Linked DNA regions of Mus musculus. The protein of the gene in region 1 interacts with the protein of each later gene in a pairwise test. Links are inferred from orthologs where the notes say so. Each region holds a gene or a part of one and is shown in the gene's direction. Other genes may lie near its edges.

What was found.
Region 2: the proteins of Mtus2 (region 1) and Spg21 interact in binary tests that used the Homo sapiens proteins (3 or more experiments, as listed by UniProt). The link is inferred for Mus musculus from reciprocal best matches to the Homo sapiens genes MTUS2 and SPG21.
Region 3: the proteins of Mtus2 (region 1) and ccdc198 interact in binary tests that used the Homo sapiens proteins (3 or more experiments, as listed by UniProt). The two-hybrid records come from large-scale screens. The link is inferred for Mus musculus from reciprocal best matches to the Homo sapiens genes MTUS2 and CCDC198.
Region 4: the proteins of Mtus2 (region 1) and Odf1 interact in binary tests that used the Homo sapiens proteins (3 or more experiments, as listed by UniProt). The two-hybrid records come from large-scale screens. The link is inferred for Mus musculus from reciprocal best matches to the Homo sapiens genes MTUS2 and ODF1.
Region 5: the proteins of Mtus2 (region 1) and Rhpn1 interact in binary tests that used the Homo sapiens proteins (3 or more experiments, as listed by UniProt). The two-hybrid records come from large-scale screens. The link is inferred for Mus musculus from reciprocal best matches to the Homo sapiens genes MTUS2 and RHPN1.
Region 6: the proteins of Mtus2 (region 1) and Plscr4 interact in binary tests that used the Homo sapiens proteins (3 or more experiments, as listed by UniProt). The two-hybrid records come from large-scale screens. The link is inferred for Mus musculus from reciprocal best matches to the Homo sapiens genes MTUS2 and PLSCR4.
Region 7: the proteins of Mtus2 (region 1) and Zmat2 interact in binary tests that used the Homo sapiens proteins (3 or more experiments, as listed by UniProt). The two-hybrid records come from large-scale screens. The link is inferred for Mus musculus from reciprocal best matches to the Homo sapiens genes MTUS2 and ZMAT2.

The regions. Positions count from the first base shown.
Region 1 is NC_000071.6:147,956,037-147,960,119, forward strand, and holds the start of Mtus2 (microtubule-associated tumor suppressor candidate 2 homolog), read left to right. Parts: upstream 1-1,283; 5' UTR 1,284-1,685; exon of another isoform or gene 1,686-1,999; intron 2,000-4,083. UniProt on the Homo sapiens protein: Binds microtubules. Together with MAPRE1 may target the microtubule depolymerase KIF2C to the plus-end of microtubules. May regulate the dynamics of microtubules at their growing distal tip.
Region 2 is NC_000075.6:65,484,937-65,488,970, forward strand, and holds the end of Spg21 (maspardin), read left to right. Parts: intron 1-1,896; coding exon 1,897-2,013; 3' UTR 2,014-3,534; downstream 3,535-4,034. UniProt on the Homo sapiens protein: May play a role as a negative regulatory factor in CD4-dependent T-cell activation.
Region 3 is NC_000080.6:49,231,929-49,235,428, reverse strand, and holds part of ccdc198 (uncharacterized protein CCDC198), read left to right. Parts: intron 1-864; coding exon 865-966; intron 967-2,457; coding exon 2,458-2,617; intron 2,618-3,500. UniProt on the Homo sapiens protein: May be involved in tuning the metabolism, energy expenditure, and excretion processes.
Region 4 is NC_000081.6:38,218,044-38,222,002, forward strand, and holds the start of Odf1 (outer dense fiber protein 1), read left to right. Parts: upstream 1-1,159; 5' UTR 1,160-1,386; coding exon 1,387-1,664; intron 1,665-3,959.
Region 5 is NC_000081.6:75,703,108-75,707,087, forward strand, and holds the start of Rhpn1 (rhophilin-1), read left to right. Parts: upstream 1-1,180; 5' UTR 1,181-1,286; coding exon 1,287-1,367; intron 1,368-3,980. UniProt on the Homo sapiens protein: Has no enzymatic activity. May serve as a target for Rho, and interact with some cytoskeletal component upon Rho binding or relay a Rho signal to other molecules.
Region 6 is NC_000075.6:92,456,244-92,460,177, forward strand, and holds the start of Plscr4 (phospholipid scramblase 4), read left to right. Parts: upstream 1-1,134; 5' UTR 1,135-1,682; intron 1,683-3,934. UniProt on the Homo sapiens protein: Catalyzes metal ion-induced ATP-independent rapid bidirectional and non-specific movement of phospholipids (lipid scrambling or lipid flip-flop) between the inner and outer leaflet of the plasma membrane and participates in the redistribution of phospholipids between membrane leaflets.
Region 7 is NC_000084.6:36,792,569-36,796,722, forward strand, and holds the start of Zmat2 (zinc finger matrin-type protein 2), read left to right. Parts: upstream 1-1,354; 5' UTR 1,355-1,373; coding exon 1,374-1,391; intron 1,392-1,728; coding exon 1,729-1,822; intron 1,823-2,472; coding exon 2,473-2,596; intron 2,597-3,468; coding exon 3,469-3,542; intron 3,543-3,930; coding exon 3,931-4,076; intron 4,077-4,154. UniProt on the Homo sapiens protein: Involved in pre-mRNA splicing as a component of the spliceosome.

The DNA.
Region 1 (4,083 bases):
TGTCAGCCGATGTGGTGGAAGATGGTCAGGTCTGCCTGTGGGATGGGGGTGGGGGTGGGATGAGTCCCTGGAGGAGTGGGAGTGGCCCGAGGAAGGAGCTGTAGCGCCAGGACCTCATTCCTTGCACCTGGGAGGCATGGGCTTCACAGAGCACCCAAATAGGAAAGTGAATGGCACAAAGGAGGCTTTACTATCTTTCTAGGTTTAAGTCAGGCTGGGGTTTGTGAGTTAGGGGAAGGGAGGGGCGAAGGCTTAAATGAAATGAGCTTAAAGTTTGATTTAGATTGGACTGGACTTTGTAATAACAGCCAGTCAGACCGCTTGTTAACACCCGAAGGTGACAGGAAAAGCGATAAAACGTGCCCTAGATTCCTCCAGAAGAAATGGGAGGCCACATAGAATAATGTAAAAAGACAGCCGTGTGAAAAGTGCTCTTTCATGATTTCCCTTCACAATATAGACCAGTTAGTACAAAAATTCAGCTGGTATAAAATGTTGCTCGGCACAGCAATGCTGGGGTGGGGGAGGGAGCCCATTTTCCCCACACTCCCGACCCCCAAGAGAAAGCGAGCAAGCACATCAGTAAGCCAGCATCTCATTGTCTTCTCTGTCAGTCTGTCCCAAATCTTGTGAGCCAGAGGCTGGAGAAGCCCCCCGGCTGTCTTCAGGCTTCCCAGGTGCGCTGCTTTCAGGCGACCTGGAAGGGCTACTGAGAAGTCCTGCGTTCATGTTTACTTCTGAGGAACGTTGTGAACTACGAAGCAGACAAGCTTGCGTTGAGACAAGAGTCTTTCAAGTGGGTAGCCGGCTATGCATTACCCCTAGATTTGGAGGCAGAGGCAAGAGGATATCTGTGAGTCTCAAGTGAGATCCTGCCTCAAACACCCCAACTCCCCCACCCCCACCCCCGCCAAACCCGCACACAATCACACACAAAACCCTTACAGAGACTTCTTTAGTCTCCTGTCCATCAGCCCCGCTACATCCCTTGCGAGTTCACCCGCTGGACCCCAATTCTTCCTGCTGCACGCAATTAAAAGAGGCTCTCTCTTCCGATTGGACCACAGCACATCCCACTCGTGGGAGTCAGGAGTCTAGGTCAGCGACCTCAGGCTGCTTCTCCTTTCTCTGGGGTCTGAGGCTGGATGCTCCGGACCACTGTGGTCCCGTGAGCTGCCGGGTCGTGTCGGGCCAGCAGAGGGCGCTCGGCTCCCCCCACGGGGCTCCGGACGAGAGGAGGCGCCGGGGCTCGCGAGCATCTCCGGGCGGCCGGGAGGGGGTGCGCGCCTCGGGCCGCTGCAGCCCGGCTTCTGTCACCGCGGACGGCACCTCACTGGAGGGTGGGCGGGAGCGGCGTCTTTGTCCGGCGAGGCGTCCTCAGCCCGGGCCATCCCTGTGATCAGAGCCCGGCGGCTTGGGCGGTGCCCAGTGGTGAAGTGCGCGGGCGGAGGGCTGGCTGCGGCCACGGCCCCAGGTACCCCGGTGCCCTAAGCTCGCCACCTGCGCCACCTCAGCCCGCGCTCTGTCAAGTTGCAGAAGACCCGGGTGGGTCAGGAGTCTGGACGCGTGGGCGCGTTGCAAACTCCAGCTGCGAAGGAGCTGCGTGCGGAGGTAGCCCGGCCCGGGATGCTCCCGGAGGCTGCTCTGGTCTCTCTGCACATCCTTCTTGGCTCCTCCAGACCCAGGTGAGCGACTGCTGTCCGCGCGTCCCGATCCGGCTGGAGACAGGTGCAGAGCGGGGCGGAGGCGGTGCCTTTTGCTGGCTTCTCTGGCATCAGAGAGCCCGCTCCCCGCTGCCCACATCTTCTGCTCCGCCGGAGAGAGGCTGCAACCCACTCGCACCTTCCGGGGATGTCAGGTTGAGCACGGTGTTTCAGAGGCGACAGCGGGTTAGCCTAAGCGAGCTCCCACCCCTCTCCACCCCCAGCTCGGGATAATTCGGTCCGTGTCTTCGTCTTAATTTAGCACCGATGTGTTATTTCCTTGGAGCCCTAGAATGGTAAGGCTTGCTCCATCCATTTTTCAACCCCCTTCATTCTGAGTCTGTGCAGGGAAAGGCTTGCAAGTGATGTTACTACCGTTCTATTTTAAATACAAACACCCAGAGAAGTACGCTTGGCGGCGTGCCAGAGGCGCCTGCACTCTTTTGTTATGTAAGTGCTTCACAGGAATATTTGCTGGTTGGTAAAGTTAGGAGCGGTTACCAGAGAACGTAAGAGCGCAGGAAGTCAGAGCCATAATTTCTGTCTTAGCTCAAAACTTTCCTTCAGGATAAGCATGAGATGGTTTTGGTATCATTTAAAGGCGACAGGAGGTCCTTTCAAAAGAAAAATTCATACCGTAGACTCTCAAGCGTTAAGACACAAAACAGGCTTTTTTTTTTTTTTTAAGTCTGTTATGAAAACCAGTGGGACGTCTCTGACAATAAATAGGTGGGAAGTGACTTAAAGAAATAGATCCCTGTCACATAGCCGTTTTGGCTTTTAAGTTGTTAGGTAGTTGTATTTTGCTGTCACGTGGACATAGCTAATCGTGTGTTGACAGTTATTAAAGATCTCTGCTCACACGTACCGTAATTTTTCAGGTACAAAGATGAGAGTGGAAAACATCAGATACGCATCTTGTTCTTACTGGTTTCTGGTGATGGCATTTGTTATGTGTGTGGCTCATGTGGAGTCAGGGTTGTGACTGTTGGTGGGCATCGTTTCGTGCTTCGTTTAGTCTCCAGCAGCATAAGGTGGGGCTCGGTGGGTTCGAGGTACCCCAGCCAGGCGTGTGACATATAGGGAGAGAAACTTGTGTTTGACTGGAGAGAAGCTAAAGATTTTAGCCCGGGTCTTTTTCATCTAAGTGATTTTCCTGCTTGTTTTCCTTGCAAAGAAAAGCTGTGTGTACCGGGGGTCCTTAGTACCACAGAGGGTACCCATGGGAGTCTTAGTTGGGGTATAGTGCATTGTGCAGAGGAAACCCTGAAAGTTCAGTAGTTTTGGGGAGAGGGAGTGCCTTCTTTTTGTTTGCATGATTTTTTTTTTAAAAAATTGTTTCACCAAGGATTATTTTTCTCACTGAATGGATGTTTTCATATACTATATAGGAGTGCAATCAGTCAATCAGGTGCACAAAAGCCTTTTTGGTAATTTTAAGGACAGAGGGAAAGCTGGCATCTTTTATAAGTCCACATTTCCACAGCTTGGGGCGGGCTTACAGAGGCTTTATGGGAGCTTATGTAAGAGCCACGACGGTGCTTTTGGTACTCGGTTAAACTCCCTGCTTTGGCTATTACATAATTGACATGGAACTAGGCTGTCAGAGCTGAAATCGTGAGGGAGAATGTATAAAAACCTAGGCTCATGTGGGATGCACACAACACACACACACACACACACACAGACACACACACACACAGACACACACACACACAGACACACACACACACAGACACACACACACACAGACACACACAAACACACACACACACACAGACACACACACACAGACACACACACACACACACACAGACACACACACACACACACAGACACACACAAACACACACACACACACAGACACACACACACACAGACACACACACACAGACACACACACACACACACAAACACACACACACACAGACACACACACACAGACACACACACAGACACACACACACAGACACACAGACACACAGACACACACACACACACACACACACACACAGACACACACACACACACACAAACACACACACACACACAGACACACACACACAGACACACACACAGACACACACACACAGACACACAGACACACACACACACACACACACACACACACACACACACACACACGGCTTTATAATGAATAGCTGCTGCCAAATTAGAGGGAGCAGCAGGGATGGTCGTTTGTGAACGGGAGATAAGAACTGTGTCAGGAGGATGGCTGGAATAGAAAACTGTTAGGTTTAACAATTTTCTAGAGACCTGAATGCTGGCTGAAACTACTGCAGCCCTTTCCATGCTGGCTATACAAAGAGGCTGGGAATCTTGGCCTTCTGGTCCCTCACCTGGACTTACTTTGGGAGGC
Region 2 (4,034 bases), on another chromosome or scaffold:
GCTCTCCGCTACTTGTGGAAGGAGATCCTAAGGAGGCAGTCCTAACATAGAGAAACCGATGCCCAGGAATGCCCACCATGCCATTAGCCACAGTAGCAGGAGACTGGAAAGACCTCACATAGAACGTCCACTGGTAGAGCAGCATCGCGCTGGGTAAGATGTGTATGAAGGGCTGGCTGCCAAGGTGGCTTAGTGACTAAAAGCACGGGCTGCTCTTACACAGGATGTAGGTTTGATTCCCAACACAAACACAGTGGCTCACAACCATCTGAAACCCCAATTCCAAGAGATCCAACACCTTCAACCTCTACAGGCACCAGGCACACATGAACAAAACACTCAATAAAACTTTTAAAAAGAAAAGAGAGGTGTATTAAGGGCCAGCAGTGATGGATCTATGGCATACTAATATGAGAACTGTAGTTTAGATCCCAAAGTCGCATAACTGCCTGCTGAGCACGGGAGCCTGCAGGAGCTTCCAGCCCGGGAAGGTGGAGTCTGGGCATTCCTGAAAGAAGCTGGCTATCAAGACTAACCATATCAGGGGCCGGAGAAACTGCTCAGCAGTTAAGAGCACTGGTTGCTCTTCCAGAGGACCTAGGTTCAATTCCCAGCTCCCACTTGGAAGCTCACAAATGAAATTCTAGATCCAGGGGATCTAGCGTCCTCTTCAGGCCTCTAAGGACACTGCATACTGTGATTAAAGATGATGTGTAGGCAAATCCCCTGTATACAGTTTTTTAAAAAGGATCGGCCATATTAGAGAGCTTTGGATTTAATTGCTACCTGCCTTCCTCAATGATTAAGATGGAGAGTGATCAACCTTGCATACTTGAGCCCACACATGCACATATACACAAAACATGGGAGTTATGGGGGTGGGGAGTGATATCCATGAAGATTTGGCAGGAGACACTGCTTAAGAACACAAAACAATTTGAGGTCAGTGGTAGTGGTCCCACCAATTCTTTGGTCAGCACAGTGATGAATACTTCATAGCACTCTGAGGCTGACACAGGATTGCTGTAAGTTCAAGGCCAATCTGACCTACATCGTGAAACCCATACTCGTTTCTTTGCTGGCTTTTCTCGAGTGTGCAGTTTTAGGAAAACTTTGTTCTCCCAACACGCTTGTTAATAGCATGCTACACCTTCTGCTCTGTAATACAGTTATTGCAAAATGAAGGCATTGGGTTGGGGAGATTCGGTGGTAAAGTGGTTGCCATGTGACAAGGAGGGCCTGAGCTCAGTCCACACAATCCAGGTTTAAAAAAGTGGGTGTGGTGGCACAGCCCCGGGGGAGGGACAAACAGGCAGACCCTGGGACCAACCAGCCAGCAGCCTCTCCTACTTACCAAGCTTGCTGCCACTGAGGGACTATCTCAGAAGACAGGTGGACGGCCAATGGTGGTTCAGTGAGTAAAAACTGTCACCAAGCCCGACTACCCAGTTCAGTGCCAGAAAAATACAGAGGAAGAGACAGTCATCTCCCACAGTTTCTCTGACTTCCACACATATACAAAGTAAATTGTAATTTCTTAAAGGAGCCCTCAGGGGCTAGAAAGATGACTCAGCAGCTCAGAATACTGGTTGTTCTTAAGAGGTCCTGAGTTCAATTCCCAGCAACCACATGGTGCCCTGTTCTGGTGAACAAGAAAACAGCACTCATACATAAAGTACCTAAATAAGTAAATTTTTAAAAAGGGGGACAGGGGCCCCCTAAAGAGTGACACTGATGTTGCTCTCTGCCCTCCACATAATCTCAGAAAGATTCAGGACTAGAGATAGGGGTCGCCCATTGGTGGAGCCTTTGTATAGCACTGCGAAGCCCTCGCTTCAATCCCAGCAGCATAAAACAAAACCCTCACAACAGCTAAAGTAATCTGCACTCTTCCAGATACATCTGCTGCAGTTCCATGGAACCAAGTACGCTGCCATCGATCCGTCAGTGGTCAGTGCGGAGGAGCTAGAGGTGCAGAAAGGCCGCCTCGGCCTCAGCCAGGAAGAGCCATAGATGGGGCTTGAGATGCCGAACCACCCTGCTCTTGCACAATCAGTTCGGGTTCGTTGGTCGGGCACACTGGTCCTCACCCTTCTGGAAGTCGGACTGATTGTCAATCTCATGACAGGCGTCAGCTCTTCTAAACCAGTGTGACTGGCCCCTCTCCACATTTGTTTTTGTTTTAAACTTTTAAATTTGAAGAACTTTTAAAGACTCCCATTTTAAGAATTGTGAAAATTTTGCTACCAAAAGTCTTCTCCACTCTGTTCATCTCAAAAGCTTGGGATCATGTGGCGTTCTCTCTTTTCCTGCTTTCTATAACTGCTGCACCCACCTCCAGGTTAGAAGAGGAGCACCGGTCATTTTTATGCTTTCTTGGGCATAACCAGAGGGTCGAGGCTGGCAGCCTGCTGGCCACTCCCTACACATCAGCTTTTTTGCTTTCCAGTTGAGCACATCATTTTGAGTATTAGCTGTTGTATTTCTAGACATTACATTTGGAATAAAAATTGAATTTCAGCCAGTGGCTTCTGTGATGAGTGAGGCTGCCCCTCTGGGCTACTGGCCAGTGCTGTGTGATGTCGGGTGAACAAGTCCATCACTCTGACTGCAGCACGGCTGGCTGTTACCTGCTGACTGCCGCTGTAGCCTACGTGCTCTTTTAATCTTTTTCACTAATGGGATTGTTAAAAAAGAGATAGAGTCTCATTTAGGCTAGGCTGGCCTTGAACTCATTATGTGTCAGGGCTAGCTTAGAGCTCCTGATCCCCCTGCCTCCACCTCCCAAGTGCTAGGATTACAGATGTTATCCTGAAAGATCACCAGATGCCCGATAGAAGTGGTTTTAATACATATGGAGAACATAGTAAACTGTCTCCAGCTCTTGATCCAATGTAGAAAACGTCCAGCCTGTGGATAGCCTTGTCTCCCTCCCGCACTTTTCTACATCCCTTCCTATCCTGGATGGCTATAAAGCATTTCCATGTGTCCTTTCAAGAGATATGATAGGATACTTGAGACGCTGGGGAGATGAGTCTGTGAGTAAAAGTGCGTGCTGGACGAGCATGAGCACTTGAGACCGCCCAGTGCCCGTGCACAGTGTCAAGAGTGTCCAGGCAGCCTGTAACCTCAGATAGCCCAGTGCCCGTGCACAGAGTCAAGAGTGTCTAGGCAGCCTGTAACCTCAGATAGCCCAGTGCTCGTGCACAGTGTCAAGAGTGTCCAGGCAGCCTGTAACCTCAGATAGCCCAGTGCCCGTGCACAGTGTCAAGAGTGTCCAGGCAGCCTGTAACCTCAGATAGCCCAGTGCCCGTGCACAGTGTCAAGAGTGTCCACATAGCCTGTAACCTCAGATAGCCCAGTGCCCGTGCACAGTGTCAAGAGTATCCACACAGCCTGTAACCTCAACACTAGCTGCAGGGCATCCATTCTCTGGCATCTGCCCACACATACACAGATATATACACCCATCTGTATACAGGTATCTATACAGTAACAAAGAGGTTATTTGATAATAAAGGTTGAAATATCTGTATATGTAAGGGGTTTTATTCAGTTCACATAGTAGAAAATTTATACAATATACACACATATAGAAAGCTATAATTAACATTTTGAAAAAATTAACACTTATGGGAAATTATTGACATAAAGCTAGAAAAAATTAATATCTTAACTATAACCATAAAAAACAAAAATCTTGGGCCAGCAAGATGGTTCAGCAGGTAAAAGCCCTTGTCACACCAGCCTGATAACCTGTCTTCAACCCCCAGAAACCACAGTGGAAGAAGAGAACCATGTCTACACATTGTCCTCTGCCTTGCATGTGTGTGCTGACACATGTACATGCCCATGGTCATACACACATAGTAAATTCTAAATAAGCTGGCATGGTAGTGCATACCTTTAATCGTTAGCACAGCAGAAGCAGGAAGGTGTCTGTGACCATGAGGCCAGCCTGGTCCACACTGTGAGTTCCAGATCCATAAGGAACACCGCCCCCCCCCTCCTTAAATAGAAACCAAGACTCTTGG
Region 3 (3,500 bases), on another chromosome or scaffold:
TAAAAAAACGAAAGCTGTTTGTAGGGGTCCTTTTCAAACCTTGTCCTGACTCATTCCGGAGCCAGCCAGTCACTGCTGGGTGAGGTTAAGGGTCACCCGCATGCTACAGGTCCTCAAGTCCGTGCTTAACGTGCTGGCAGCTGCGGCAGCCTCCCTCTATGTTTCTGCACCATGCAACACACTGTCCACAGGGCAGCACAAAGGGTTGTCGCCAGTTCTGTTCTTTACCTCTGGGCAACAGTAGGTGACAAATGAAAATACATTCACCCCTGCTTACCCTCAATAGCCACCTCTGCCACTGAATTTCATGACAAACTAAAGGGAGAGCAGCAGACTCATCAGTAGTCATTTCAAAGCCTCCCTTAACTGCTGTGCTCCCTGTACTTATATTAGAATATGAAAACAAACTGTAGAGAAATAAGTTCCACAGGGCCACTAGGGGGTGCTCTTCTCACGTCACAGCTGTCCATTCAATGGTAGAAGACACAGGAAGAGAAAGGGAAGGAAGGTCTCATCAAACCCAGCCACTCTTCTAGAGAGATATTACAAGCATCTGTTGGGGGAGAAATGGTACATTGTCGAAGTGAGATTATCAAAATGAAATTGTCAAGGCCTTACATTCAGGCTTTCAACACTCTGCAAGAACCTTTAAAATACAACTAGATACACAGCAGATTGCCACTTCATTCAGACAGCTATACAAAGGACTTGTCAGGGACACACACCAGTATAGCTTTATCATGACAGGAGAACACCATGGATTACAATGGATTAAGATCTCCTGCTCCAAGAAGGATTGAAGGCTGTAGATTGTGGCAGTCAACAACAATGACCCCAAACTAATAAACATGTCATCTTTCACAGCAGGAAAATGAGAAGAAAATTCAACTTCCTATGTACACTTCTGGGAAAAGACAATATTTGCATAAGATGAAAATGCTAGAGATGAACCATAAAAGACAAGAGGTAATGAGAAGAGGGTCGCATTTACCAAATATGGAGGGCACCATCACTGTCCCACCAAGGCCAATCTCTACTCGGCACTGGAGCAGAAGCTGCCACTGCCCAAACTGGAAGAAACAGGAAGATGACCTTTGCTCCCAGCCTTGATCTCTTTTAATGTTCTAAACATTTATTTCCTTATTTTGTGGGAGCACAGGGCACACACATGTGCTACAGTGCGTGTCTGGGGGCCAGAGGCCAACTTTTTGTAGTAGGTTTTATTTTCTTCCACCATATGGGTTCTGGGTCTCGAACTCAGATTGTCAGACTTGGCAGCAAGCTCCCTTAATCACTGAGCCATCTCACTGGTCCCTTGGGTGTCCCTTTGTCTTTGTCTCTTTGTTTTGTTTTTGACATAAGGTCTCATTACATAGTTCTGGCTGACCTGGAACTCACTCTGTAGGCCAAGATAGCCTCCTGCTTCCTCATTGTTGGGATTAAAGATATGAATCACAAAGCCTAGCTTATGTCTTCTTTTTTAAAACAAGCTGCCTTGGACCCTCTGGTTGCAGCCAGAAAATAAGGTAAATCAATAATACTAGTTTCTTGGTTTACTTAGAGAGGGAAAAGAAGTCAGTGTATAGTCTGATACACAGGCCTCTCCCTGTAATCCATGCTGCAGAATTTTCTATAGAGAAACACTTGGTACTGAGCATGCTTGTACCCCATGCTTGTGGGGCTGTGCAGGAGGAGTGCCACAAGGTCTAGGCCAGCCTGGGTTACATAGAAAGTTTCAGGACAGCCTGAGCTACGGAGTGAAACCCTGTTTCCTTTTCTGCTGCTATAAGAGAATACCAAAATGTGTTAATTGACAAAGACAATAGAGATACTGCTCGTCGATCCAGAGGCGGAAAGAGCTAAGACTGAGACACTGATGATACAACACAGCACAAGCAAGGAACGCAGAAGGTGACAATGTTCTTGAGAGTGAGGGGTCAGGGGGCAAGAGCAAGCCAAGGCAGGCAAGCAGCCTTTCTAGCTCTTTCTAGGGAGAACTAGCCTCCTCCTGTGACAGTAGTTTTCCTCTATCCTGAAAGTGAGCCACCTACAAACCAGCATAAGGATTGGGGTAGGGATATGTTTCCAATCTAGATTTTAGGAAGACACACTGGAATACGTTCTCCAGTACAGCTCTGCAAGTGTCCTACCCTAAACGCCGCTCTCTAAGGAAGCATCCTGTGGTTCTATCCTCTGTAATTCCAAACACCACATCTACAGACAGAGGCCAGCAGGCTTCCTCTTTCCATTGGCCATGCCTCTCTGAGACAGTGAGCATGCTCACTTGTCTCCTAACAAGCCTGAGAATAAAGTTCCCAGGAAGAAAACCACTCCACTGTGTTCACGGGTGTTCAGGTCTGTGAACTGTCCACCTTTGATGTTGCTGAGATGCTAACCTGTTCAGGCAGGGGAAGACGGTTTAGGGGGACACTAACCACTTCTAGTTGATCATTTCAGGCCCAAATGGAGTTGAGGAAGAGTCTTCTGAGTAAGGCGATGCTTGATATGCAAAAGCTGAAGGACCATAATGGCAATAAAATCGCCCAGAGCAAGCCAAGGAGCAACGGCTATGACATTCTCACCATACTGCCTAATGAAAACATAAACAGAGATCCAGGTGAGCCATTTCTTTAGTAAAACATTTCACGGGGTGTTTTTGTTTTGTTTTGTTTTGTTTTGTTTTGGGAGTTTAGTTGTTTTAAGACAGATTTCCATGTAGTCCAGGCTAGGCTCACTATGTAGTCAAAGATGACCTTGAACAGAATTCTGATCCTCCTGTCTCCACCTCCCAAGCACTGTATTGCACCACTCTCCCTGGCTTGTTTATGCCACGCTGGGTGTTAAACCTAGGACTCTATATATAGCAGGCAAATTGTCTGCCAGCCTAGCTACATCATTGGCTCCCTAGTGTTGTTTTGAGACAGGGTCAAACTTGAACTCAAGCCCCCACCCTGCCCCCACCTCCATATTTTACACACTGAGATGCAAGCATGTTTTAAACTTTATCAAATAAACATCCATGATGGGCAGGGGAAGAAGAGTTAGGGGACAGCAAATACCTACTGCTGGGGGGCTATGTGACATCTGAGAGTGTACATTGCATTGTATTTTGCATCTCTGGGAGGAAAAGATAAAAGCTTAAGCTCTCCATTCAGGCTTCTCTCTTCTTGTAGGTGCTAAGTGCTTCAAAGGCACTCCTGAAACCCTAAGACAGGCTCATAGAATCATCTTACTACCAGAGACGGGGAGGCTCTTACAGATCCGTGACGTCTGTACTCACAGGACAAATACTTATCAGACCCTTATCCCTCAAAGCACCCTTGGCCAAGCAGTTCAGCCTTCTTGGGTCCCCAAGAATGTCAACAGTGAGTCTAGCACCACTGCCTTTTCCAACTGGCTCCTGCTGCAGCCACCATCTTTACTGGGGAGGCCCTCATGATCCATGCCACTTAGGCTAAAGCTAAATTCCCAGTCCCATGTTCTGAAGTTCTAGTTCATGA
Region 4 (3,959 bases), on another chromosome or scaffold:
CATTGGTTTCTTTGCTTTTTAAGTTTTGATTTATCTTATGTGTGTGTTGCCTGCATGTATGTATGTGCAAGATGTTCGTGCTTGGGGCCTGTGGTGGTCAAAAGAGGGTATCAGATCCCTGTCCATGGATCTGATGTTACAGTGGAACTGGAGTTACAGTGGCTGTGAACCACCTCATCAGGATTGAGTATCCAGCCCTCCTCTGTAAGAGCACAAAAGCTCTTATCTCTGAACCATCTTGCCAGCTTCCCTTTTATGCTCCCTTGAGCTGTGACCGCCAGCCTGGACCCTCCTTGCCTCTTCACTGGGTCTGGCCCACATTTAACACTTATCAATAGGGGAGGAGGGATAATCGATGATCCTTTATTGAAATGAAAATAAAAGGTCAAACCCCTAACTGTGGCCTTCAAGCCCAGCTCTTAGTTGCCTCTCTGGTGTCGCATCCATTTGTCCTCATGTGTCCTCCCTAGGACTTAGTCTAGGAAGAAGGGACTAGAGGTTTGAGAGATAGAAGCAGATTAAGAAGTACAAGTCAAATCTGAGGTGAGTTTGCAGTCTTAGAGGTTGATCCATGTTAGAGAATGGGGCATGGCTGAAGCAAAAGGTTCCGGAGAGTGGAAGAGGGTCAGGGACCAATGTTTAGGGCCACTCGGGGACACTTGGAGGCTTAGAAACAAGACCTCAGGTCCTTGTTGTGGGGCGATGACTGTAGACAGAAACCCTGAGCAGTAGAAGCCAAGAGCTTCTGGGCTCCAGCTAGTGGAGAACTGATGTTCCTGGCTAGCTAGAACCCTAGCTGGTAGAGGACGGGCAGTTGTCTGTGATGTATGAGACCCTGGGTTTGATCCCTGGCACCAGGAAATAATAATAATAATGGGTGGGACTCAGAGATGTGCGACTGAGAAAGCCAATGACAAAGGCAGACTTGAGACTGACTTGGTGGGAAAGAAGGGCCAACAGCCAAAAAGAATCTTACAACGAGGCTCAGGCCTTTAATGGGGACACAGAGACTAGAGCCAAGTGGCTCCTGCCCTTTCCACAATGACAGCCATGACTGTCTTAACTCCTACAAGTCAAGGACACTAAAGGGAAGCCCTCAAGGTCCACCAGCACCCAGGGTGAGCGAGCTCTTGGTAGGAATACCTTCCTGGGAGAAACCCTGAGGAGGGTCTCAGGGGACCATAACTGTTTGTGGTTGGCATGGTAACCAAGAGACTATGACATACTTAAAGGGTGGGTGAGGTCACAGAACACAAGCTTTAAAGTAAGTGAATCATGTGTGGCTCATTTAATTTTAAAGGAGGCCTCTGAGAAGAGCTTAGAACAATTTTTTCCTCTGAGTGCCATTTCCCAAAGGTACTCACAGAACAATAAGGTGTGACCATAATGGCCGCACTGAGTTGTCTTTTGGACAGTGTTAGGAGGGACATAAAGAAGGTGGACAGAGAATTAAGACAATTGAGATGTATCGACGAAATCAGCTCCCGCTGCCTGTGTGACTTATACATGCACCCGTACTGCTGCTGCGACCTGCATCCCTATCCCTACTGCCTCTGCTACTCCAAGCGATCCCGCTCCTGTGGCCTGTGTGACCTCTACTACCCGTGCTGCCTGTGTGACTACAAGCTGTACTGCCTTCGCCCATCGCTCCGCAGTTTAGAGAGGAAAGCAATCTGCGCCATTGATAAGAAAGAGTGTTGGCCAAGGGAGAGGGTGTGACCTGAGAATCAGTGTAGCTGCCACATCGGTGGGAAGAGGCGGGGACATGGGGAAAGTGACAGATGAATGGATGTGAAAAGGGATCTAGATAGTGACTCAGGGTGACCAGGAGAGGCTTAAGAAGAGAAGGGTAGGTGGGCCAGCAGTGGGAATAGAGAGGTCTAGAGGGGCAGTGTGGTAAATAGGGTAGCCTTAATGAAGGTAAAATAGGGGTGTCATTAAAAAGCTGTTGGAAACAGCAAACTCAACAAATCTGGGAATGACTGAGGTGATCTGAGTGTATTTGGGCTTGCAGAAATGACTGCAGGAGAAGAAAGTCAAAATCAGTCAAATCCTTACTGTGGGCCAGAAGCCTCCACAGCAGAGGCTGAACACTGGAGGCGTTTCCCCAGTGTGTGGGAATCGTTCTCCCACCGAGTCTCAGGCAGAGTTGATCTATAGCTAGGGCTGCTGTGCTGGCCTCCCCTCCAACCTCAGAAGGGATTTGCGACATCACAGGTTGCAGCCAGCATAGTAGATTGGGATCTCAATGGAATTGGATAATATAATTGGGGGGAGGGTAATATTTCTTTAGTTTCTTTTCCTATCCTTTCCTCACTTTAACATATACAGTCTGTATACAGGGGAGAAATGGTGGAAGTGGGCATTGTCCCCTGGTTATATAAATGACTGTACACCCATCCAGTGGATTAAAGAACTGAGTGTAGTAGCCGACTCTGAGGTGGAGGCAGGAGGCTCACAGGTTCTGATACAGAATGAGTCTGAGGCCAGCTTGTGCTCTGTGAGACTGTCTCAAAAGGTTTTAAAAGGGGATTGAAAAGTTGGAAAGTTTTTATGTATGATATGTTCAATGAAAAGATCAGCAGCAGATAAGCCAGACACAAATTCGATGGATGGGAGGATGGCCAGGCAGATAGATGGATGAATGGAAGAATTATTGGGTGAGAGGGTTGATGGGCAAAGTCCCTTGACAACAGTGATGTTTCACTGAGAAGGATAATGGGACAATTACTGACGATGTCACTAAGGGTCAGGATCAGACCTACCTGACAGTCTGGAATGGAATAGTCACCTACGAATTTATCTATATTTTGAACCAATGTTTATTTTTACTCCTTAGGATGTCAAGTTTATCTAACTTACATTGTGAAATAACAATTAATACTTGGTTCAAATATTAAGTGTCTTTGGGAGCGGGTCTGTGTCCTCTCTCCGTGGCTCTAAATTCTAACATGGTCACCTGGTGCCTCCCACTTCTCCACTTCGCAGGGAAGATGTTTTTCTCTCTGTCTGTATCCTCCTGCCTCCTGCCACAAGGCCACAGTAGACTCGACTTCATGCCTTATTCCCATATAAGTTCAGAAAGAGCACTGCTGTCTCTGGTCTGTGGCACCTTTCCTGGTAGTGTCTAGGTCTCCTCAGTCCCAGCCTTAGTGTGTGAGGCGAACAGTGTCCTTAATTTCTGCATCTGCGAATCTCAGACCTGCCTGCTCTTTATCTCTCCCCCAGCACTTTTCTTCCAATTCATACCACCTTACCAAGTGTCTGCACTCTATTGCCAACAGCCTGACACTGTCACTGTCTGAAAGGGCTCAGTGTCATGTGTAAAACTACAGCTTTAGTTTTCCTGAATAGGAAAATGCTAAGCCCAGATCTGAGCTCTAATCCCAAAGGACTCATGACTAATTTTTTCTTTCAATTAAATGCTTTCTTTTTTTCTTATCTTTAATCTAGCATCTGACACATGACTGAATAGATCTAGAAATAATCTCCATTCAGGTTTTTTTTTTTTTTAACACCATCTTTAGAATGAAACTGTACTCAAGGCTTTCTGAGTTTCAAATTCCTATCTTTATGACCTTTCATTCCTTTAAAGAATGTCTGGGCACTGGTCTTTTCAAGTGTTGCCCAGACTTTAGTAACAAATTTTAAATCCCCTCCACGAGTGTCTGTGGTTTGACTGATTGATATGTGTGCACACTGGGCTTCTTTAGACTCGGATTAAAAAGTCCGACCCACTAGCATTTTGCTTAAGTAGCTGCTTCAAAAAGCTAAGCCTGAGTCTTCCTTAGTGGTGCCAGACTTAGCTCTTCTGTTTCCTTAGCTGCTTCAGTTTTCTCCTTTTCTTCTTACCTTTGCAGCTGCAAGCTCCAGCAGTCGCTTGACTTTTCCCTTACTTTTGGATTCAAAGGGATGGAGAGGGTAGAATCTGTTTTCTCTCATGAAGCCACACAACCAGT
Region 5 (3,980 bases), on another chromosome or scaffold:
GACCACACCTAGGCAGCATAAGAGCCCGGAGATGGAGGAGGCTGCTCATGAGGATGTCAGTGGAGGAAGAAGTGAAATTAGGTGACACTCCACAGGAAGATACTAGAGGAAAGAAAAGGAAAGAAAGGAGGGGAGGGGAGGGGAGGGGAGGGGAGGGGAGGGGAGGGGAGGGGAGGGGAGGGGAGGGGAGGGGAGGGGAGGGGAGGGGAGGGGAGGGGACAATGCTGCCCTGGGATCAAAAATGCCAGGAAGTTTGGAGAGGCTAGCGGGGCAGATGAGAGAAGCATTTCTGGCGGGGGCCCACTGTCCAGGGACATCCAAGAGCTTAGCCGAGCAAATTTAGATCTGGGGATGACAGAGCCAGGTGTGTGTGAGGGGGATGGGGCGTAGAGACTGAGTCGCTGACTCAGTCAGGGCAAGCAGTGACCAGGGTGGCGGGCAGCGTGGAGGAGGCTGACCTTTGGAGCAGCTTGACAAAGGGCTAGCCACTCATTTCTAGGCTGTGTTCTCAGCTCATCTAGTGTGAGCCAGCCCACATGAATTTGAGAAGTGCTTCGGAGTAAGCCCTGCAAGGAGCTCGAGTTCTGGAAAAAGTCCAATTCTTAAAACCAATTCGGGTTCTGGAAGGCGATCCGGTTCTGGAAGCACAAGGAGGTCAAGGAGAATGTAGGCTCTGGAAACAAAATGCATAACCAGGTCCCGGAGGCGAGGTTTCTGGGGGCGGTTCTGGAAGCAAGGGGACCGCAGCGGCGCTTTGCCTCTTAGTGCCGGGAAGAAAGCAGGCATTGTTTTAGAATCAGCACAAGCACTTGTCTCTAACAAACCGTTTAAAAAACCCCATTGTAAACATTTTTGGAGCAATCCTGGAGGGTCCCGTTGCCGGGGTGACGAGATAAAGCCTTGAAGTCCCTGCAGAGGCTGCAGCGGCTCTTGGTCGCCGCCCCCAGTTCTGCTTGTCTTTTCCTAACTTTCTCCGCACGCCTAACACCTAGCGTTGCGCATGCGTACCCTGATCGGCGAGCGGCCCTGGTTGCTAAGAGTTACCAGATCCCTTACCTGGAGCCCGCCTTTCTCTCACTCTGGTTGGTAGTAGTTTCTATCCATCGGAGTAGCCCTCACCTCTGATTGGACAACATCAAGTTTTGCAGGCGGGGCCCGCGCTCTGCCGCACCGGTCAGTCGGACCCTCCAGGAGGGGGACAGTCGGAGCAGCGCGGCTGATCCTCCCTGGAGCGCGAGGGGCCTGCTGCTCGCAGCCTCTCGGAGTCAGCGTCCGAGCGAGCAGCGATGATCCTTGAGGAGAGGCCAGATGGCCAGGGCACTGGCGAGGAAAGCTCTCGGCCGCAGGACGACGGCAGCATCCGCAAGGTGGGGGCTGAGCAGGGATATGGGTCTTCAGCCTCCTGCCCCGCGCTGTGCAGTGCGGCCTTCCCGGCCTTTCCTTCCTGGGACCCGCTCCCCTGAATGCCAGGTGGGGATACTGAGGTCCCAAGGAGAGACCAGAGCCGGTGTTCCAGCCCGATGGGAGTAACACTGGAGCAGTCACGGTCTAGATGGTTCCCCTGAAGCTAGAGAACCCCTTGGGTCTCAGAACCAAGAAGTTGGTTCTGATGGGTGACAACCCCCACTCCCTCACCTCCACAAGCAAGCACGTGTTTTTTTCTGACGTCTAGAAAGCCTCCTTCTCTAACAGTGTCTTCTGCGTGCCCCGCTGTAGGAGTCAGTGTCCATTAGTGGTTAGATTGTGACAGCAGACAGCAAAAACCTTCGGAACTTCACGGGGAAGCCTGACTACTTTTCCCCAACATACATCCCCTCCAAAGCTCCTGAGTCTGGAGATGAGGGTGCCTGGGCTTCCAGGAACACAGGGGTGAAGTGGAAACTAGTTTGCTCTTTGCCTAAGGGATATTATGTTAACCTTCTCTGCTTCTCCGGTCTGGGTATTTCCTAGGGGTCAGTGAGTGTTTGGGTTTCTTAGTATGTGTGTAGGCTCTGGGGTACTCCTGCCCATCCCCAGGGGCTGCTAAGCAGAAGCTGCTGTCACAACACTCCCGGGTGTTCCCATGGCTCTTTGCCCACCTTCCTTCCTGGTGTCAGATTGTACTTTGTTGCTGGCTGATTCTATCCAGTGTGTGTGTGTGTGTGTGTGTGTATCAGGTCTCCTGGAGGAGAGGGAGGAGAGGGAGAGGAAGAGGAAGAGAGGAAGGCACTGGGACTTGGACAGAACCCTCAAGGGCTCCATCCTAACCAGGCATGCCTGATACCACAGTGACTAGCTCAAACTGGGGAGGGGTTAGATTGGAGAGAGGGAAGGAGGGAGGGAGGGAGACGGAGTCAGCCTGCAACATGTTCTCCAGGAACTCTTCTTCCTAGGGTGGCCATGCCTTTCAGGTGCCCTGTGGAGGAAGTGCATGTTGCATTGGTCAGCCTCCCTGTGGATAGTGTGGGACTCCCCCACCCTGAGCTGACTCAGTAAGAGAAGCCTGGGAAGGCTTAGGATTGCTCTGTTCCTTCTTTCTATTCCCAGGCCTGTGTGGGGATAACTGTGTCCCCCCGCCCCCCACCTTTTGCTAATCCTTGAGGACCAGCCCAGTACAGGTCACTGGGTCTTTGAGTGGGAGGTTTTGTTTCTCTGACCCCCATGCCTTTCCTCCCTGGTCGTGGCCAGGCCCTGTTCTGGTTTGGCCACTGCTGCTGCGATGTCTGTACTGATGGCAAGTTCTCCCAGAGTTAGACAAGAGTAGCCACCATGGAGGTCAGCCATGGTTAGACGGCCTTTGTTTCCAGAGGGTGGGGAGATCATACCGGGATAGAGAGAGATGGTTACTTAGCACCTGTGCCCTCCCTGCTGAGCACTTCCTTCAGCCCAGTGTGGAAAACTGGGTGTGGGCTATCAGCTTCCAGAATCCATCCAGCCCAGCTTATCTTGCCTTTCCACCAAAACAGGTTAGGAAGCTGGCTTGGCCTCCATAAGTGAACCAAGGTTAAAAAGGGCAAGAACAGGCCCAGGGTCTGGGGCTGGTGAAACCTCAGAGTGGCTAGCTGCTGCAGCTCCCTAGCAGGTGGGGGAGGGACTGAGGCTATCGGCCATAAATAAGCTTAGAACCTTGTAGTAGGGTCTTGGGGAAAAGATGTGTGCCGTTTTCTTAGTAGCTTTGAAGACAGGAGACTGTTGTGGCCTCAAGTTTCCCTCCTGCACAGGCAGGGGTGGGTCCTGAGAAGGAGACAGTACAATGTGGCTCCACTCTATCCCTATGCTATCTTGTGCCAGCTATCCAGAAAGCGAGTCACCTATCTGTAGTCACCCAAGGATGACTTAATGGCCTCCTTCTTTCAGAGTGAGCCCAGGTGCCACTTCTGTGGGCGCTCTTCAGTGACATGAAAGCTGGCTTCATGGTAACCCTGGGGCCACAGTCTAAGTGATTGCCTCCAGGAGCTCCATCCATGCCAAGGCGAAAGCGTCGCTTTAACCCATGCAAGATGCTGAGGCTGTCCTTTGCATGACAGTAAGCCACACTTTGAATGCATGGCCAGGATCAGCTCTGCCAGGATTTACACACACACACACACACACACACACACACACACACACACCCCACTCTGTGTCACTTGGACTAGAGCCTTTCAGTTTCTGTGACCTCCTCCCTCATATGTGATCACTAGTGAGGGTGTTCCCCAGGGAAAAGAGCCATCAGCAAAATCTTTACCACGAAGTCTTAAACCGGCGGGTTAACCTGGGCAGGGCAAAAATGCTGCGCTGCGTGGCTTGGAGGACCTCAGGCTTTGTGCAGCACCACCAATTCCCCACGCCTTGGCAGCTCTGGGAGGAAGCCCTGTAGGCCGTGGCCGAGCCTGTAGTTGGAGAGAGGGGACATCACAGATGACGCAGGCCACTGATCTCACATTACCCAGGAGGAGCTCTCATCTGACTGGAGCTGCCAAAGGGACACTGGAACCCAATGCCTTGTTCACTGTGTCACA
Region 6 (3,934 bases), on another chromosome or scaffold:
CCAGCACTCGGGAGGCAGAGGCAGGCAGATTTCTAAGTTCCAGGCCAGCCTGGTCTACAGAGTGAGTTCCAGGACAGCCAAAGCTACACAGAGAAACCCTGTCTCGAAAAAAAAAAAAAAAAAAAAAAAAAAAACCAAACAAACAAAGAAAGAAAGAAATCACACACATGGGACACTATAAATGCTGCCTTTTTTTTTTTAATCTAAGTTTTGTCAAAACCCAAGTAACTGATGGCTGACCCAAATGCCATATTCTGTATAGTTTTACAGCTTGTGCGTTTGTGAACATTACAGTAAAAACACAGGATTGAGGAAATGGAACCTGGGGAAACTTTAATTTTACTGAACTGCTCCATTACTGACATTAAGACTGTTGTAAACACAACACAAAACACCTCTCCCTCCCCAAGAGTGTCAAAGAGACAGAGGCACGTTGCAGTAGGGATTCATAAAGAAAGTGTGTATCAGCCCCCACCCCCAAACCCTCAGGAATTCAGGCTGGACACCTGCTCTGGAAATGCAAAAGCCCATGAATTCTGCGGTGGCTCATGGCTCCTGAGTGCCTATGTGGTTGGCTCATAGCTCCTGAGTGCCTATGTGGTTGCTCTCATATATTTGATTTGTCTTCCAAGCAATGCTTCACAGACATGATTTTTTAAAATTTTATTTTAATTAGGTATTTTCTTCATTTACATTTCCAATGCTATCCCAAAAGTCCCCCATATATCCCCCCACCCACTCCCACTTCTTGGCCCTGCCGTTCCCCTGTACTGAGGCATATAAAATTTGCAAGACCAATGGGCCTCTCTTTCCACAGACATGTTTTGATCTTGAATGCTTTTGGTATCTCTCATGAGGCCAATCTAGATATTCACACTCACAAGCTCAATTTCTTGGTCCCTCTAACAAACTCAAACCATTACATCTCGCTAAGACTTTGATGTCAGTTTGTTTGTTTCATGCTTTCAATAAAAGGCTGTATTTCTTCATTTGAGAAGTATTCTTGGCAGATATTACCGACCAGAACATTATTAATTGTTAAATCTATTCTGACAAATCATGTGCGAGGGAAAATGGAAAATTCCAGAACTCCACCCCCATGTAAACTCCTCCCAGAGCGCAGCCTGCAAGGCCAAGTTCTCGGCAGCTTCTTCAGGTCAGGCTGTGCCCAGTTGTGGTTCTGAGTGAGGTCAAAGGACATTTGGTTCGTCCACTTCCTTCAGCTAACTGTACCGGACCGAACCACTTTAATTTGATAAAACTATGTGTGCCTGACAGCAGCAATTAACCAAGTAACCAAAGTCCTCTTTAGAGAGTCAGAAATCTTGAGCCTGCTTCTACCCCCACCAGCACCCCAGTCCTAGTCCCTCTCCCTCCCAGATCAAACTGGTCTCCTCCAGGGATGGGAATGAGAGCCGAGCAGTGAGGCTGGTAGACCAGCTGCTTCCCGCCACCAGCAGAGGAGCGGTTCGGAGCTCAACCCCGCGGGCTTCGCTGGCGCCCACAACTTGTTTACCCTGCGTTTGGCTAGGGTTCAGGACGCCGGCGCCCCACCCTGCAGGAAGCCCTCCCGGGAAGGCTCCCCCGGCTGCCCCGCGTGGATCGTCCCAGCTCCTCGGCGCCTCTCGCCTTCCCCCAGGCAGGACAGCGAGCTCAGCCGGCGACGCCTGCAGCTGCGGGCGGTGAGAGGGGCCAGCGGGGAGCGGGGGACCCTGGGAGATTAGGGGGATGCGGGATGGAGGGCGCGGGCTCCGTGACAGTGGAGGAGGCGGGGCAGCTCAGCCGCAGGTGGTTGCGCAACTTTCGCTTTGTGGAGCGGGGTGGGGTTTCTTGTGTTGGGGTCCGCTTGGTTTCCCCCGGCTCTTGATAGGACAATGGGGTGCTGGGTGAAGGCTCTATGGGAGCATCATTCGGCCCTGGTGACATGAACTCTCGAGGGTGCAGGCCCTTCCCAGGAGACCCTCTCCACACTTTTCCCTCTTGCACCAGTGGAGCCTGTCCCCTCCTTGCAGCTCTGTGGGTCTCTCCTAGGGCCTTGGGCATAGATGTTTTCAGATAACTTTGCAAGGTTTTACTGGCAGGGGCTAAAAGATAGAGACAAGTTTTTGTTTGTTTGTTTGTTTGTGTCCCCCCCCCCCATTACTTTACAGAGTACAATATTAGCCTTTTAGGACTTAGAATTTTATATCTTATATTGTGTGGATGTACCCACTTTTAAGAACCGCAGTATGTTTGCGCTTTTATTTTGTCTATAGTAGTTTAAGTGGAGCCAGCAAGAGTAACAGAAGTATATTATGAAGACATTATGCAGTAAGGTTGATTTCCAAGATACTTCTGGGATACAGATGTTACTGCAGAAGTAAACACACAACCTCCACCTTCCAGCTCCTTGTTATGGGAAATAAGGAAGCAAGGCATTATGTAACCCTTAAAGTAGCCACACTGTCACATTGTATGGCCCAATGACATCACCAGAACAGAGGACACAAAGATGGCACATTATGCATAATTTAAGTGCCTAGGGACAATAACAAAGTTAATAAGCATTCCAGTTGCATCACACTTTGTAAGTCTTTTGAGGCTCAACTACAGGAAAGTACAGTGAAAACACACTTTAGTATAAATAACAGAAAAATGACAAATTTATTTAAACTATGAATTGTGGATAAAAATATGAATATGAAACTCCAAGTATTAAAATTATGCTACACATGAGACCCCAATAAAATTTATTTTCTTAGGTGAAAATATCATGTCCCTTAAATAATACATAATTAAACAGAATCGTAACTCATTCATAGTTTTAAACTGGCTCTTTAGCTAGACTATTTGAAAGAATTGCCACACTGCAATTTAAATGAAATACATGGCAGCTTGTTTTATATTAAAAAAAAAAGGGGGTATTCTAAAGAATGAACAGACAGTAGAATGATCCCAGACATTACAATAAAACTGAAGAAAGAGATTTAAGGATAAAATAAAAATGGGTATTTAATAAACATACATTTTAAGTCAGTAAAAGGGGACTGGCAAATAACATTTAAATTGATTATAATTGGAGCACTCGGCATTTATTTGGGTAAACTAATAATAAAACTGTTATTATAGTTAATATAAAGTGTGTTAACATAAAATGTAGTCAGGATGGATAATTTGAATCCAGATGCATAAAACCCAAAGGTTTGTGAACATGAGAAATGGGAAACATCTGCAAAACCTGGGCCCATTAAGAACTTATTTGTGAGCATAAGTACATAAAAATCAGACATGAATGAGGGGTTGTTAGAAAAAAGAAAGGTAATTCAACCACAGCTGGAACAGGTGATTGTCAGTAGCAGTCAGATGAGCAAAAAAAGTTAGGCAATTAAAATACCATGCTAACTTTTACTAGACCTGATGTTGAATATCTAATCATTTTGTTGTTGCTGACACAGCAAGAGCAATGTACACGTGCAAACTTCAAGGAGAAATATGAGTTGGCGAAACATATCATAAAGAGAGAGCTGAGAATAGTTGTATTCATTATTTTTCTTTTGCAATTCGTTCTGTAAAAATACGTGCCCAAGAAAAAATTAAAATCTGTCAAAGTCTTCCTTAAAGATGCTCATGGTAGCATTCTCTGTAATGGAGCAGGCTTTGAAACTGTTTGGAAATCATCTGCTAGGATTTAGTTGTTTAATTTGATGCATCAGGAGATAGAAGATACCTACTCCTAAACTTTAGGAAAGAGTAAATGTTCTAACATGTGAGTATGGTAAAGTGCTAGGTAAAATACTAACAGTAACTACAGGCACACCACAGGGTATGCACACAGTTACAGCATGTACGTATGTATGTACATATGTATGTATGTATGTATGCTGCAGCCTTTGAGACATTCGGAAGACAGAATGAATTATTGTTACTTTGAGTGTTTATATATTCTTGCATATTT
Region 7 (4,154 bases), on another chromosome or scaffold:
ACCCTTTGCCTGACGCTACATACATTTAATCTCAGCAGTGAAGTGGTAGGGCAGAGGCAGGGGAATCTCTTGAGTGTAGGGTCACTTGAATAAGAGTAAAGATTAAAACTAGCAGGACATAAGAGGGGTTTAATGTTTAGACAGCAGGTTGGATAGATGAAGAGGGTAAGATGCAGGGGGAATTTGGGGAACGCAGCCTCAAAGAGGGAGGTCTTTAGGGGAACACAGAAGGGCAGAGGTCCTGTGACTCTAGTAATATACCAAGGAATCTCTACAAAGAGATTTTCAGGCCAGCCAGGGCCAAATAGTGAGACCTTGTCTACAAACATACCACACCTATAATCCCTGTAATCCCTCTTAGAAAGTGGTGGCAATAAGTTCAGGCCAAAACTGAACTCTAATTTGCCTAGCAAACCGTATTTTAAAGACTAAAACACTTGTGACTGTAGATGCCCCATTCACCAGCATGTACTATGAATGTGGCTCTAAATTATGCACAGAAGACAAGTAGTTTTACATTGTCCCCTCCACCACTACTACCCCTGACCCCCACCACCACCCCTGCGCCGCCAAAAAAATTAGTGCTACTTTTTGGTTAAACTCATTTTGATGTCTGGAGAACATCTAAACTCATTTCATTTATACAGTACAATTTAATCTTGAAAACAGAATCAGCCAACACCCTAGAATGAAGCATTCGCCACTCTAACGAGTGCTTAAAATATGTTGTTTGTGGAAGAGGTTTGCTAGGCAGGAAATTGCCTAGCAGGGAACCTAGCTCAATTGGTAGAATTGAGCTTGATAGCATGAATGAAGCCTCTAGGACCACATGAACCGGTCGTGGTGGTACATGCCCCATAAATTCAGCACTTGGGAAGTAGAGGCAGGAGAGATCAGAAGTTCAAGATTAGAGACTATATAGCCAATTAGAGTTCAGTTTTGGCTACCTGAGAACCTGTCTTTAAAAAAAAAAAAAAAACCAAAACAACCAAAACTAGAAATCCGGTAAAAAACAAAACAAAACAAAGAAACCCCTAGAAATCAGGTAAAGTTGGTTAGATCATGGAGCACTATTTTCAAAACTCTGATTCTTTGCATAATAGAAGAGATGAGCTATTCTTCTGGGCTTGTTTTTAAAGCCAGAGAGAAAAACGTTGGCCCGTGCCCTTACTTCCGTGTAGCTTCACACTCCCTTTGCGCCTGCGCCATCTCCCTGGAGCAGAGGGCGGGGCCAACAGGACTGCCTTAGAATCGCTCCAGTCCTAACGCAGTCAGAATGAGAGGCTCGGATCTTATTGGAGCGTGATCTTGCCTTCTGGCTCCAGGGCGCGTTTTACTGCACTTTACGGCTTCCCATTCACTTCGCTGTGAAGATGGCGTCTGGCAGCGGGGTAGGTGTTGGTGTGACGAGGTTTGAGGGGTCTGGGGGATGGCTTTTCAGAGCTAAATAGAGACAGGCTGTGAGATTTGACTGACTTCCTGACACCTCTTCGCGATCTCAGGGTTCAGGTTCGAGAGCTCCCCCGTAAGGCCTTGGCGCAGGGACAGTGGAATCTCGGAAGTCTCTCGGGTTGGGGGTCCCGAGTCCACCAGACCCCTGGGCGTTCCAGAGAGACTTCTCTTCCGAAAGGTCCTGGGGCCGCCCCGGTGGCCGTTAGGCGGTTCCCTTAGTTTCTCCAGGGCAACAGGCACAGCTACGTATCTTGAGCACCTTTTCCCCCCCTACAGACAAAAAACTTGGACTTTCGCCGAAAGTGGGACAAAGATGAATATGAGAAGCTCGCGGAGAAGAGACTCACAGAGGAGAGAGAGAAGAAGGATGGTGGGTGCTCGCTCCACGAAGGGATAAGGGGACGGTAGAGATGATGCTGTGGCTAGAGAAGGAATGCCTCAGCAACAGGATAGATAAATCACTTGCAGTTAACGAGGCAAACAAAACAAAACAAAACAAAACAGAACAAAACAAAAGCCCTAAAGCTTTTTCCTCTCCTTTTTACGTGAGCTTCCCCTAGGCGTAGCCCATATTCCAAATCAAATCAAATCAAAACCTCCCAAACAAGCGTGTCCAGCTGCTTGGGTCTTAGTTGATTCCAGATGTAACTGCATGAAAACATTGAACATACGCTACTCGGTGTGAGTACCCCTCTTTTGAAAGGGTCACCTCCAGGAAAAATTCAGAACTCCTCAGTTCAACTAGACAACACATAGGAAACACTGTTTACATTTGCTGGCTTTAAAGGGAGAAAAGCTCTTGAGAGTTGGCAGTACCATTGCAAGTCTGAGGCCAGCTTGGTCCACATAGTGACCAGGCCTATGTCTATATAAGTCCAGGCCAATTAGAGTCTTTCCTAGCCTCTTTGAATTGCTACATAAAGTACCTGTTGTGTCCGTTCTTTGAGGAATTAAAAAGAAAAAAAAAAAAAGCATGAGTAGTCTTCTGAATTTTGGGGTTCATAATCTTTTTCCTTTCAGGGAAACCAGTGCAGCCTGTCAAGCGGGAGCTTCTGCGGCACAGGGATTACAAGGTGGACCTGGAGTCCAAGCTGGGGAAGACGATTGTTATCACCAAGACGACCCCACAGTCTGAAATGGGAGGGTGAGTTGCTTCCTGTCCGACTCTTAATACCACAGCTGGCCTAATAAACTGTATTGGTTTTTAGGAAGTGTTGAGGAGAATCCTGGGCCCAGGGATGGCCACCGTTCTGACCATAACCTGATTCTTTGTCTTTCTTTGTCCCCTGAAGTTTGTAGCCCACTCGGTCCTATTTCTAGGAGGGGTGGTTCTCTGGGCTTCTTCCTATTGGTACTGTAATACTTCCCTGATATCTTCAGGGGGGCTATATAGTCTGTTAGAAGACCTGAAGGCTCGGGGTGGGTTTTAGGTGGAGCTGTTAACTATAGTTTTTGTGCACCAAGATTGTGACCTATCGAAGAGTTTCACGGACCTTGTCACCCTTTGCCACCATTCCTTAAAGTCTGTCAAAGTTACAACTTACATCAGGAGACTCAGACAGATAGCAATCCACTGTTGTGATTCCTTTGCTGTGTACATTAAATAGTTAGCAGCATAACATAATAATAGCTCATAGTTTCTGTGGGCAAGGAATTGAGGGGTGGTCACCTTGGAGGTTCTGGACCTGGGTCTCTAATAAAGCCGCAGTTGTGGAATTGACTAGGTTTGCATTCGTTGGGGCTTAAATAAAGTTAGAAGGTCCTCTTCCAGGCCCTCCCGTGCCTGTGGTTCGGAGGCTCAAGTTTATTCTCTGGGCCTGCTTGTAAGGTCATTCACAATGAAGTGTAAAGAGGGACTTTCCCTAAAGCAAGTCATGTGAAGTTTGTCTGTTTTGTTAATTGAGACATTAATTAGACATCATCTAATTTTACCTAGAGATTTGAGTTTCTTTCCTGAAAACAGTAAGATCCTTAGAAACCAGATTGACCCATGTGCTGTTTCTTCCCATTTGTCAGCTACTACTGCAATGTCTGTGACTGTGTGGTGAAAGACTCCATTAACTTCCTGGACCACATTAATGGAAAGAAACGTAAGGCATGGAGGTAGTTGGTGGCTGGAGCTGGGTTGGGTTTTAAAGGTGTGCTGGAGGGCAGGTGTGGTAGAGTGGTTTTCTGGGGCCTTTCGTTTGTTCGTTTGTTTGCTTGCTTGCTTCTGAGTATCCCTGGCTGTGTGCTACCTGTGCATGACCACAGAGGCCAGAGGAGGACGTTGGCTGGCCTTGATGATAATCTGCCCAGTAAATAGGAGCAGGTGAGGCTGAGAGCTTCTTTTAGCCATAGTTATTTTTGTTGTGTACTTTATTATGAAAAGGTAAACAAGTAAACAAACCTAAAAAAGCCAGGGCGAGACTTTCCCGGGGGGGGGGGGGGTGGCTGAGGATGTTATAATGACTTGTCTCCGTTGTTAACCTCACCCAGATCAGCGAAACCTGGGTATGTCCATGCGCGTGGAACGCTCCACTCTGGATCAGGTAAAGAAGCGTTTTGAGGTGAACAAGAAGAAGATGGAAGAGAAGCAGAAAGATTATGATTTTGAGGAAAGGATGAAGGAGCTCAGAGAAGAGGTGAGGCTCTGCTAACCCTGCTCCCCAGCTTGGAGTGTTTTCCTTGTGGACCGAGGGTGGCCCTCTTCCTCCGCTCAC